Arabidopsis thaliana: one gene and its partner. The protein of the gene in region 1 interacts with the protein of each later gene in a pairwise test. Each region holds a gene or a part of one and is shown on either strand. Other genes may lie near its edges.

Region 1 (5,378 bases):
AGTATTATTTTCTTTACAGAATCACAATTATAGTAAAAATACCATGGTCTTTTTATTTTTAATATCAATGATTACAAATTATTTTAGTATGTCAAATTTCGGATGATTATATATATATCTGTCAATCACCTAATAATCCCAACTACATATATAATCGGGAGAAATTGTTAGGAATGCCCTTTCAAACTACTCCTTTTCAATTCTATCATTTTTTGTAATTTATTTTCATTTATCCCATCTTTTGATTTTTTATGGTCATTTTACTCTTATTTGAAAATATTTTAGGTTTAAAAAATATAATAATGATTTTTCCTATCAAAATTATTCCGAAGATAATTTTTCGACCAAAAAAATCCGACAAAAATTTTCCCGCCAAACTTTTTTTTCTTCCAAAAGATCATTTTCCCCAGAAAAAATAATTTTAATAGAAAATAGATTTACAAGAGTTTTTAAAAGATTTACAGGGGATTTAAAAGGATTTAATTCCTTTTCTGAACCCGAAAACGATCCATATAGTGTCCCAAAGTCATTGTGCTTTTATATCTTAAAAAAACAGTACTACTATTAATTGATAATACATACATAATCAAAATGCTCATTGGCGATAAGCATGATAGTGCATAGATAGATCGGTCTATAAATTATACACATTACTAACGATAGTTGTATGTATATTGGAGAGTGAGAAGAGCCAAATAAAACATTTTTTCCCAAAAGTTGTGCAGGAATCAAAAGAGTCAGAGCGACGACATACTGACAAACATATTTGATTGCTTACTACTAAAAAACAACTTCCCAAGTAAAGAGAATGATCAACACAAACACTAGGCTTCTCTCTACTCTCTCTTCACATTTAGTCTCCTTCTTCTCTCGCTTTCCATTACCTCAGGCACGGATCATCTGTCGAATCACATTTTCAACAAAAGCATTTTGAGATTTTCAAAGTTCTCTCATAGATATAATGTCTTGTGATATAAAAGAATATGGGTGTTTTTTTCTTTTTTTTACCATTTTGCAGATGTTTCTTCCTTTCAATGTCTTTGAAGCTTCCTCAGCGAAAGCTTGAGCTGCTTCTGCTTCGGCTTCTGCTGCCTCCGCTTCCTTTGCAGCTTCCTCAGCCTCTGCCATGGCAGCTTCTGCCTCTGCTACTGCCTGTGCTGCAACTGCTGCCGCCTCATGTACGTTCATACTCTTCATTCTGGCTATCTCTGTATCAATCTGTGACCTTGTCTGAAAATTCACTTCATCTATGTCTGTTTTAGGTGAAGGCAAAGAAGAAGTCCTCTGTTTTCCTCCAAACACCCCCAGACCTTTTCTCCTGTGGGAAGACAAGGGAGTGGAGTTTGGAATTCTGTACTTACGTTTAACCTGTAAAAGAGAAAGCCCAGATCAATAAACCTCGCAAGTTGCAGTGAATAATGGATATGTCTCTGTTCTACTGACATCCATGAACTAAATTGATTTGCACAAAAAGTCATACATACTATTCAAAAGACCAAAAATATATGCACTCAAAAGCATTAAATGAATGTAGGAATTCTTACCTTCACAAGTTTCCCGCAAGATGTCAAGTACTTTAGCTTGGTAGACAACAAGCGTTTGAAGTCTGGTGGAGCATGATATTGATCCTACACAAAAAAAAAAAAGGAACACGGGTACAGTCAGTCCTCTAAATCAGTCTTTTACAAGGAACTTAGACAAAGAATCTTCAAAGCAGTAATCGTACAAGTTGAACTCAATATTTCCCATGCTTGAATCACATAAGTAGACGAAAATATTTATGTCATTGGCGTGTTTCTGAATTAACTACAGAATCTACTCTTACGATATTCTCATAATTATATCGACTTAAGTAGATGCCACCACAATAAATCTCGTAATTACAGAAATATTTCTAGCCCTTTCAGCTTAGTTTCAGTCAGGATATTCAATGCACATTCGTCTATTCAGGAGAGGAGAAGATAAAGATGTCACCCATTGCCTTGCAATAAAACTGCCACATCCGTTGCCTATATTGATATTGAGGAATATATTCTATTGACACAACCAAAGGCTATATTTTGGTTTTCATCCGCAATGCTTCACAGGTTCTAGTTGACAACATATCAACCCACTGAGGATCATTCAAATTGAAATGTAACACGATGCGATTTAGCTGAGAGTAACAATTTAATAATACATATTGTCTATGAGAAAAGAAAAAAAAGATGCAAGAACGAAAACAGAATACCTCAATGTAGGCACCAATTGTTGTTTTGTTACAGCCACCAGGTTCTTTCAGGGTAGCTATTGCTTCCATTATAAGGCTATCCAACCTGCAACGTTTTTAAAAGTTACAATTTGTCTATAATAAAAGATTTGAGTGATACAAACATCTACGTGTAAGTGGGACTTTACAAATCCTCATCATAATTTCACAATTATAAAGCCACAGTGATAGGATTGAGCAAACGGCTCGCATGATAATAGTAAGAAGGAGGAGAAATGTACTAAGCCAGTGAAGACAACTTAAACAGAGGTGTGAAAACAAACCCATATCACATGAATGTAATCCAACACTTATCGACTTGCACAGAATAAAAAGTGACGGCAAACCATACATTTTGAGATGTAATCCAACTTCAGAAATACCAGCGAGAGAGATACAACAAAGCAACTCCTCTTCAATACAAGAAACAAAATAGACACATTTCTAACCTTACATTAGGTCTCCTTGGAGGAGGATTAGAAGAAACTTGGAGTCCAGAGGTCGCATCCACATTTTCTTCATCACTTTGCAAAGAATTGGTTAGGGCTAGTGAGTTCTCTTCCTGTTTAGGAAGGGAGAACGTCCTTTTAACAGCTAACCTAGACTTTTCGCGCGATCCCCAGCCATTTGCCATGACACTCATGTTTCTCCATTTGTCCTGTCCCAATACAATAAACAAACCATCTCCCAGTCAGATAAAATCACAAACAAAATACAGTAGCATTATCAAAGCTGACAAAAAGGATAAGAAGTAATCATGACCTTAAGATCAACATTGGAACGCAGGTACAAGACTCCGCTAAATTCAGGATCTTTGAGAATTGTGCGCCATTTACCAGGTCCATGCTTTATAACTCCAGACTTTAAAGCTGACTCTTCTTCTTGAGTCCATTTCTGCTTAGGAGCACCCATCCCGATTTACGGTCTGCTGTGTCAAAGCAAGTCCGTTCTGCAACAATACATATCAAATGTCACGAAACCAATCAGAACTAAAGTTTCTACATAAAAATGTAAACTTTTTCTTCAGTTGTAGCTCACAATTCATCATCAAATACCACAGAATAGTAAAACCCTAATTCCCTGTTCCGAGGAAACCCTAACATAGATTATCAAACTATACCGCAGCAATAGTTCAGAAACTAAGACGCAATAGCAAACACCAACTTCACATCACTGAAAGATGCCGAAACTCAAACCCTAGAAAAATCCGTTCTTTCAGAATGAAGCCTAATCTCATGCTGAGAATATACACAATCGAGAAAGAAGAAACAGATGAATTCACCAGGAATCAGAGTTTAGAGGAAGAAGAATCGATCATTCGCAATACCAATTTTTGTTTAATCTCTGGATTCAGATTTCGAGACGCTTGGGAAGCAGAAAAAGTTAGGGTTAATGCGAATACAAGGATTCAGAGTAACGGACCTCCGTCAATTCTGATGCGGCAAACCGCTTAGACCAATTAAGCTTTAAACGCGTTTTTTCACAAACGGCCTTAAAACGCGTTTTTTACAAACGGCCTTAAAACGCGTTTTTGTTTACGCTAGTTATTATATTCTGAAGATTATAAATTGTCTAAATATTTACAAATTCAACTTTTAATAATGATAAAGAAAATATCAAATTCCCCAAATGAAGTGTTAATATGATTGTCAAGAAAATATATTATCAAAACTAATACGCAGTGACCCAGATCATATTTACACGAACAATTTGGTTTATGTTTGAAAGTTTTGGTGGTGATTAAAAATTTGATGATTAAGTGGTATTTTGAACATAAAATACAAATATGTTGCTAGATATAATTCAGAAATGTGTGGTGGGGTGGTAGTTGTGATATTTTTTTTCAAAAATGCTATTTTCATTTTATCCATAGAATTTTCTCTATTGTTTATTTTTTCTGAAAATTATCTAGTTGACTGTACCACTAATTAAAAAAAAATTGTGGACATGGTAGTTGCGATATTTTGAGAGTTTTCCAAATCTATACACTTGTTTTAAACACATTAAAAAGTTTTATAATTTATTTATTTTTGAATTTCTCCAAAATTTGAAATATAAAGATCATTTCGTAAAAAAAAGAAAAGTTCGTTGAACATAGTTTTAGTTGATTTGTTTTACTAGGTTTATTTTCTGCAGATGTTCAGTAAAAAGAAAGAACCTTCTCTAATTTCACCTAGATATTTATGATTTTATAATACAAACTAATTTCATATTTGGGTTTAAATTAATAATTGTCCAAATAATTTCAAATTACAGTCAAAATAAAACATTAGCAATTAGTTCCATCCAAAATAAATTATTAAATTACCAAATTAACATTTTTAGCTCATGAGCCCAAAATTATTTATGATATGAAATATGTACTTGATAATAATTCAAGTCAGCAACAATAATTCATCAAATTTATTTCAAAATAAACCTCCTTAAATCTTTCTGGATTTTTTAACTGATAATCCTATTGTTTTATCTTATTTTCATTAAGCCAACAATAAGTCATACCAATTAGTCATTAGTTATAATTCTTGATATTGGTTAAAGAGAATGTTTAAGTGGTGGATGGAGTTAGTTGTATACTTTTTTGGCATTAAGATGAGAATAATTTGCTACTTATAAAGACTTTGTAATATTAAACATCATATTCTTCACATGAATATACAAGTGGACAATTCTGGTTAAGTCACACCAGTGGTTTAATCCGGTTCATTTTTCTACGTATAGCATTAGTGTTAATTACGTGCACGAGAACACAAGACAGAAAGTAAAAAAAGCAAGAAAGAGTCAACAAAGTTGCCCGCCTAACGATTACTTAGCACTTTTGAATCCGTTTTAAGCAAAGCCTTAGTTTGAATTTACAGCTCTCATCACAAAGAGAGTAGCCCTTCTCGAAGCGAGTGAGATATGGCAACAAAGACCGATGATTTTGCACCATTTCCAGTTAAAGATCAGCTTCCCGGAGTCGAATTTTGTGTCTCGAGCTCTCCAAATTGGCGTATGCTTTTTTCTTTTCATTTAGATTTTGTTATATAGTTGTGTTCTATTAGCAGTAAAATTATGTTTAGTCTTTAGGATAATGAATTTATGTTTCACCGATAGTGATGAACTATACGATTTAGTTTAAATTAGGGTTGTA
Region 2 (6,311 bases), on another chromosome or scaffold:
TTCAGGTTCAATTTTAAGTGTAAATTGACCATGAGAACACCTTCAAAACGTGACTTGGCAATGGCAGTTACCACAAAGAATCCAAACTTAGTATGGCTTTGATTTACTAGTGAATTATTTTGTATAGTCATATTCAATTATTTAATCGCAATAATATAATCATGAATTTGAACATTTTCATAGATATTTATCTTCAAATGTAGCAAAAAAAAAAGACTATCTAGAATTTATTCCAAGTTATCTAGAATTTTTCAGCTAAGAAAAACTTATACTATGTGACATTCTTGAACCAATCCTAATAGAACTAGTTGTTCATTGTTAGGTTTCGGCAAAGACAATGGGAAAACAATCTAGTGAGATTTGTGTCTTATACAACTCTGACGAATAAAGATACTTGAGACCTTTAATCATTGCGTGAGGTTTTCAATTTTGATACCTACAAATACAGCTAAGTCACTCCTTTATACAATCTTTGATGATCGAAGACTAAACTATCCTGAAGGTTCACTTCATTTGATCACTGATCCACATTTTAGTGTTTGGAACAATTGTGACTTTTAGGTCTAAAGAAGGAAATTTTTGGGTTATAATTTACATGCGTAGAAGAAAATATAACTATCGTGATCTATTAAATTTAAGTCTAATAATAGCTAGTGGTTACACATGTTTAGAATAACACATTAACTTCGTTTCTTGACTAATTTTACCTCAAAACAAAAAAGGTAACAATAATGTTATCCCATGAGAAGAGAAGCAAGAATCTCTCCCATGGTTTTCTCAGGCGTGTCTCCGTTGTCATCTACGTGAACTCCGGACTCTAGAACCGCCGCATCAAGAACTAGTTTCCGCTTCGCTATCTCGTAGATGTTCTCATCAACCGTCGATTTCGTCACCAGTCTGCACCAGCATTGCCAGAGTTAATACAGATATATGTGAGAATACAAAACAGAGCACACATAAACCAATCCAAACCACAATTTTGTTCTGAAAGTTATCTAAACTGATTCAAGGATTTAAAGCTCAAACCTGAAGATAGTGACTGGTTTTGTTTGACCAATACGATGGCAACGATCTTCAGCTTGCCGATCAATCTGTGGATTAAAATCCATATCGTGAATAATGACTGTATCCGCTCCGGTTAAATTAAGACCTTGTCCACCTGCTCGAGTTGACAAGAGACATGCGAATATCGACTTATCGTTGTTGAATGTGTCGACTATGGTTTGTCTATCTGTAACTTGAGTACTGTTGAAAACAAAAGGAAAATGACTTAAGCTTCTTCCTTTTTGTAGAATCGTCAAAAATGTGACAAATTACTCTTTTTTCTTTTATTACCTGCCGTCAAGTCTTCGGTATGTAACGCCGATGACATCAAGTGTCCATTCTAAGATATCGAGCATCGATGTCCATTGACTAAATATTAGAACACGATGGCCGGATTTCTTCATTGAAGGGAGAAGCTCAGCTAATGTCTGATACATAAAGGGAGATTTAGATCGCTCACAGGTTTAGTTATACTTAATCAGTTTCACAAAGAAGACTTATGAAATGAAGAAGAATATCACGTACCCGACATTTTGCTGAGAGCATGACATGTTTGTCTGAGAGAGTTCCTTTGGTATCGTTAACTCCATATTGGAACAAAAGCTATGGAAAGAAACAAGTTAGTTAGCTTCTTCAATTGCATAACATGTTTGTTAATGGATATTCAACTGCTTTTGGAAAGAGAAACATTTACCTGGTGGATACGGAAATCGTTGAAACCCTTAACTTCCTCGATAACTCTATCCAAGGAACATTCAAATCCAAATGCACCGATTGGGTGCAATTTCCTGGCGATGCGAATGACATCCTCATCGCTGTATATCCGCCTAATTAACAATGGATGGTTTGCAATCTGTACAACCAAAATTTAATAACACATGAATAACACACTCATTTGGCACAAAAGGGGCTTTGTATTAGTAGCTGAGAATTACCTTCCGGAATTGAGTAAAATAGTTTGAAATTTGACGCTTTGGAAGTGCCTTGGCTAAAGAATTCAAGGATTTTGATGAAAGCTTCACAAGCCGTGCTTGAGAAGCAGCACGATACTCCTCTATGGCTTCTTTATATGCATCTTCCTGCTTTCTCTCCATTAATACATATTCAACCTGCATTGGATTGATGGGAAATTAATGAGATTTGCAGCTAGAAGATTAATATCGTGTACTTAATTGTGCATAGATATATCCATACCCGCTGTATCTTCGGAACAAGTTGCTGCATGACATCAGATTTTAAACGCCTCAAGATGAAAGGACCTAAGATAGATTTCATTCGAGTAATCAACTCAGTATCTTCTGCATTCAACAACTTCTTCAAGTCAACATTCTCTGTCGTAAATATATCAGGCAACATGAACTCCAACAGCGACCATAGTTCCTGCATAGACCAAACATATGCAGGGAATAAGCATTGTATGACCACATGAAGAAATGTCGTCTATATTAGGTAATTAGATCCTGAAAAAATCAACAGAAACCAACCGTACATGCAAATCATTTTGTAGAGGCGTTCCTGTAAGCATAAGACGCTGGTTTGCGTTTCTGGCCACAGACATCAAGTTTTTCCACCTATAACTATTCTTATCCTTTAACGCATGGGCTTCATCCATCAAAACACAGCTCCAGCGCCACCGTTTCAGTACTTTTCGGTCATCTTTCTGTTGTTCACTGTAAAATTCCAACATCTGTGAGTAACAGGAAAAGCCAAAAAGCAAATAAAAGCATCAAGAGTTGCACCTATGCCGTTCAAACAGAGAGTAACACACAAGAAGCACATTGAATGGTGGTGGCTTCCCAGCTTTTGACAAAGAATTCAATTCTCTTGAGTAGGCTGCTCTCGCAGCTCCGTGGTATTGAAGTACAGTAAACGACGGACACCATTTTCTGAGCTCTCTCTCCCAGTTTTCCAAGACAGAGGCAGGGCATACAACCAAATGAGGACCAGGGTCATTGTTTAAGCGACTTAGGAGGGTTAAATATGTGATTGCCTAAGGTAAATGAGAACAAAATTAGTTCTTTATAAGATAAAGAAACAAAGAAAACTTATCCAGTAATAACAGAGCAAAATGCACCTGAATGGTCTTTCCAAGACCCATCTCATCGGCTAAAATGGCTACAAACAATAGAAAGTGAGTTACAAAGTGACATTCACGCTAAAAAGGTTTACAGATCGAAACTAGTAAAAACACATACCTCCTTCAATTCCTTTCTTATACAACAGAAGAAGAAAGTTAACACCAACTAACTGGTACGGCTTGAGTATAGGCTGAAAATCAGAATCCTCTGCTTTACATGCATCATCAATATCATTCTGCGATCATCACAGATTCAACCCAAAAGTAAACAAGTTTTAGTTAACAAAACAGTAAACTCTAACCAAACCAATCAAAGCTTACCACCAAAATATGCTATCTAATCAAAAGTTACTTCACAATTGTATAAGGAAGACACTCTAAATCGTCTCAAAGCAACTACTTTAAGAACACCAAAGTGATAATTTCCAGTACCTGTGTGACAATCCTGACAGTAGAAGTTTCAACTTCAGAGTATCTATCAGTAACACCAGAAGAAGTACCATAAAGCTCTTTTCGAAGATCCGCTGAGATTTTAGCACACTTTTGCAATGCCTTCCCCACAACATCTTCATCTTCTCCTCTCCTTCCTCCACTTCCTCCTCCTCCTCCTCCAAATTCATCCTCACTAGCACTACTCTCAGCCTCATCATCATCATCATCACTCGCTTCTTCATCTTCAATCACAAATCTCCTACCAACTCTCGCAGCGCGCATCACAACCTTAGTCTCTTCCACTTCTTCTTCATCCTCTAACAACAAATCCTCACCATTCACAATCTTCACATCCGAATCCGAATCTCCCAAATCCTCAATCTCAACACAATCACCATCGCTGCTATTACTCTCAATCGTCATCGCCGTCGAAGGTCTCCTAAACGCAAAAGACTCAATCGACGGCGTTGGATTCGTCGCCGCGCGAGTCTTCTTCGGAGTCCGTGGTCGTTTAAGAACTCGCGAAGCGTTAAACGAGTGTTGAGACCACTCTTCCTCGGAGATTTCGTCGAAATCGCGTTTCATCTTCCGAGAATTTACGAATCCCAGATTGAATTGAAATTGAGAAGAAGGGGAAAAAAAATTCACATGAAGAAAATTGAAAACCCTAGATTGAGATTGAAGTGACTATTATTGCATCGAATTGAAGAAGAAGAAGAAGATGAAATTAAAACGAATTTAGCGGAGAAGGAAGGGAAAGGTCAAGATTTCAAAGAAAGGTTAGAGACTCAACAACGTGTTGCTTCTTACAAAAGAGCGGCATCCTCCAAAAGCTATGCGCGCGGACTTAATCTCTTAATGGGCCCCAAGAAATGGGCTCTAATGAGTACTTAATGGTGAACTTAAGGGATCCGAAGAAATGGGCCCAACGACTTCACTTTCTCGACAAATCTAAAAGCTTGTGGTTTGTTTGACGCACTTGAAAAGGGTTTTTAAATCCATGGGGTTTGCTTGAAGATTTGGTTTTGAAATGATGGTTGAGGTGAGAAATTATTTGGTTGACATGTATTCATAATGTGGAAGAATCTGAGAGTGTGTTTCGTTGGATGGTGGATACTGGATAGGAGTCTTATAAGCTGGATATGTACATTGAGGGGTATGGTAATAGAGCTTTGGCTACGTTTGGAATGTTGCGGTAAAGATAACCTCGTCGTTCTCGATCTTAATCCTCATTCTACAGGTTATTATCATTTGTATATATATGTTTACTAGCTAATCCATTAACTCTGAAAATTAATATTAACTCTCGGAATGGCAGAAACAGAGTTGTTATTGAGTTTCTCTGACCTTGCCATCTTGGTGACGGCAGTTTCAAATACTAAATATTTCCATACAATTTTGGTTCATCTAAAACAACTGGGTCTTGGGCTGTTTGTGGTATATCTCTCCTTATATAGGCTCTTTTGTGTGCGTGACTGTGTGCTATTTCATATTACTAACTTGAAATCATATTACAACCCAATCAGGGAGGCCCTGATTGAATATGGCCCGGCACTGACCCATTGCAGTTGGTACGATCTCAGTATAACTTAAAAAGCATCGATGGTAATGAAGAGAGGATCAAGTTGAGAAGTCACCTGTTACTTAAATATGTTGTCGTTTGTAAACTAAAATAAAACTAAATTGTATAAGATTAAAAAGCCCAAGTGAAAAGGAGAAAATCAAACTTTACGGTCGAATAATAATATATCAATAATATTTTCTCAAAGCTCTTAAAGTGATATTGGAGATTTTGTGATATATCGTTTTAAAATCTATTCAGATCGGTTGAGAGTTGGTTACTCGTTCAGGATTAATTAGGTTTGATTCAAAACCAATCGGTTCGATTGTTTTGCATTGAACATTCTGAAAGGTTGAAGAATTGAACCAAAGAAGAAAAGCAATATATTAATTTTCATACAAGAATCTAACAAATTTTAAAAAATTCTCTATTGATTGGTGTATCATGTGTATTAATATACGATATGTTATATTATAAACGATTTTATTAGATAAAAACAATTAAAAAAAAGTTAGTACAACAAAACCTAATCAAGTTAAATGAAGAGAAAACGAGGGTTTTGTCTTAAAGCTCACCAGAAAGATACGAATGAGAAAAATGTGGTACCCACAACACACCCCCGCATGTGGACACATTTCACCGTTTTAACAGTGACACCCAAACCGTAACCATCCTTCTTAATTCTGTCAAATTAAATTATAAGAAAGAAAAAAAGTAGCTTTATTTTATATTAATCGAAATAAAATAAAATGATAGAGACAGAGAGGGGACCTTAGAGACATACTTTTCAAGATCATTTCATATATGGCTTATTTTTAAAAGAAGAAGAACACAAAACAGTAGAGAGAGAAAGAGATATAGAGATAGAGAGAGATAGGGCTTTGAGGTTTGTGTTTGTATTATAATACATAATATATAGGAATAGTGTCTTCTTCTTCATCATCATCTTCTATCTCATCATCATCATCATGCATCATCTTCTTCTTGGTTCTTTCTTTAGCTCCGATTTATAGCTTTTAATTTTGACTATTTTTTTTCCTTCTTCTACTTGGTTTCTTTCTCTTGATCTCAGGTACAAGAAAAATACAACTTAGAAATCTTTCCTCTTAATTCTTTCAAAAGTTTAGGAACAAAAAACAAAAGTATAAACTCTTAATTTGTTTTTCTTTGTTTATGTCTTCTAGTGAAATGGTTTTT

What was found. The genes of interacting proteins can lie anywhere in the genome.
Region 2: the proteins of TRB1 (region 1) and ETL1 interact in a two-hybrid assay, tested with the Arabidopsis thaliana proteins (one study listed by BioGRID).

What each region holds. Positions count from the first base shown.
Region 1 is NC_003070.9:18,493,554-18,498,931, forward strand, and holds TRB1 (telomere repeat binding factor 1), read right to left. Parts: upstream 3,766-5,378; 5' UTR 3,576-3,765; exon of another isoform or gene 3,369-3,575; intron 3,198-3,368; 5' UTR 3,161-3,197; coding exon 3,011-3,160; intron 2,907-3,010; coding exon 2,698-2,906; intron 2,316-2,697; coding exon 2,231-2,315; intron 1,629-2,230; coding exon 1,545-1,628; intron 1,369-1,544; coding exon 1,009-1,368; intron 901-1,008; coding exon 886-900; 3' UTR 518-885; downstream 1-517. Other genes in the region: AT1G49960 (Xanthine/uracil permease family protein), read left to right, coding at 5,147-5,237. UniProt on the Arabidopsis thaliana protein: Binds preferentially double-stranded telomeric repeats.
Region 2 is NC_003071.7:521,308-527,618, reverse strand, and holds ETL1 (SNF2 domain-containing protein / helicase domain-containing protein), read right to left. Parts: upstream 4,397-6,311; 5' UTR 4,139-4,396; coding exon 3,554-4,138; intron 3,358-3,553; coding exon 3,240-3,357; intron 3,160-3,239; coding exon 3,119-3,159; intron 3,035-3,118; coding exon 2,784-3,034; intron 2,715-2,783; coding exon 2,534-2,714; intron 2,425-2,533; coding exon 2,239-2,424; intron 2,154-2,238; coding exon 1,980-2,153; intron 1,898-1,979; coding exon 1,739-1,897; intron 1,648-1,738; coding exon 1,570-1,647; intron 1,473-1,569; coding exon 1,336-1,472; intron 1,246-1,335; coding exon 1,027-1,245; intron 898-1,026; coding exon 735-897; 3' UTR 551-734; downstream 1-550. UniProt on the Arabidopsis thaliana protein: DNA helicase that possesses intrinsic ATP-dependent nucleosome-remodeling activity and is both required for DNA repair and heterochromatin organization.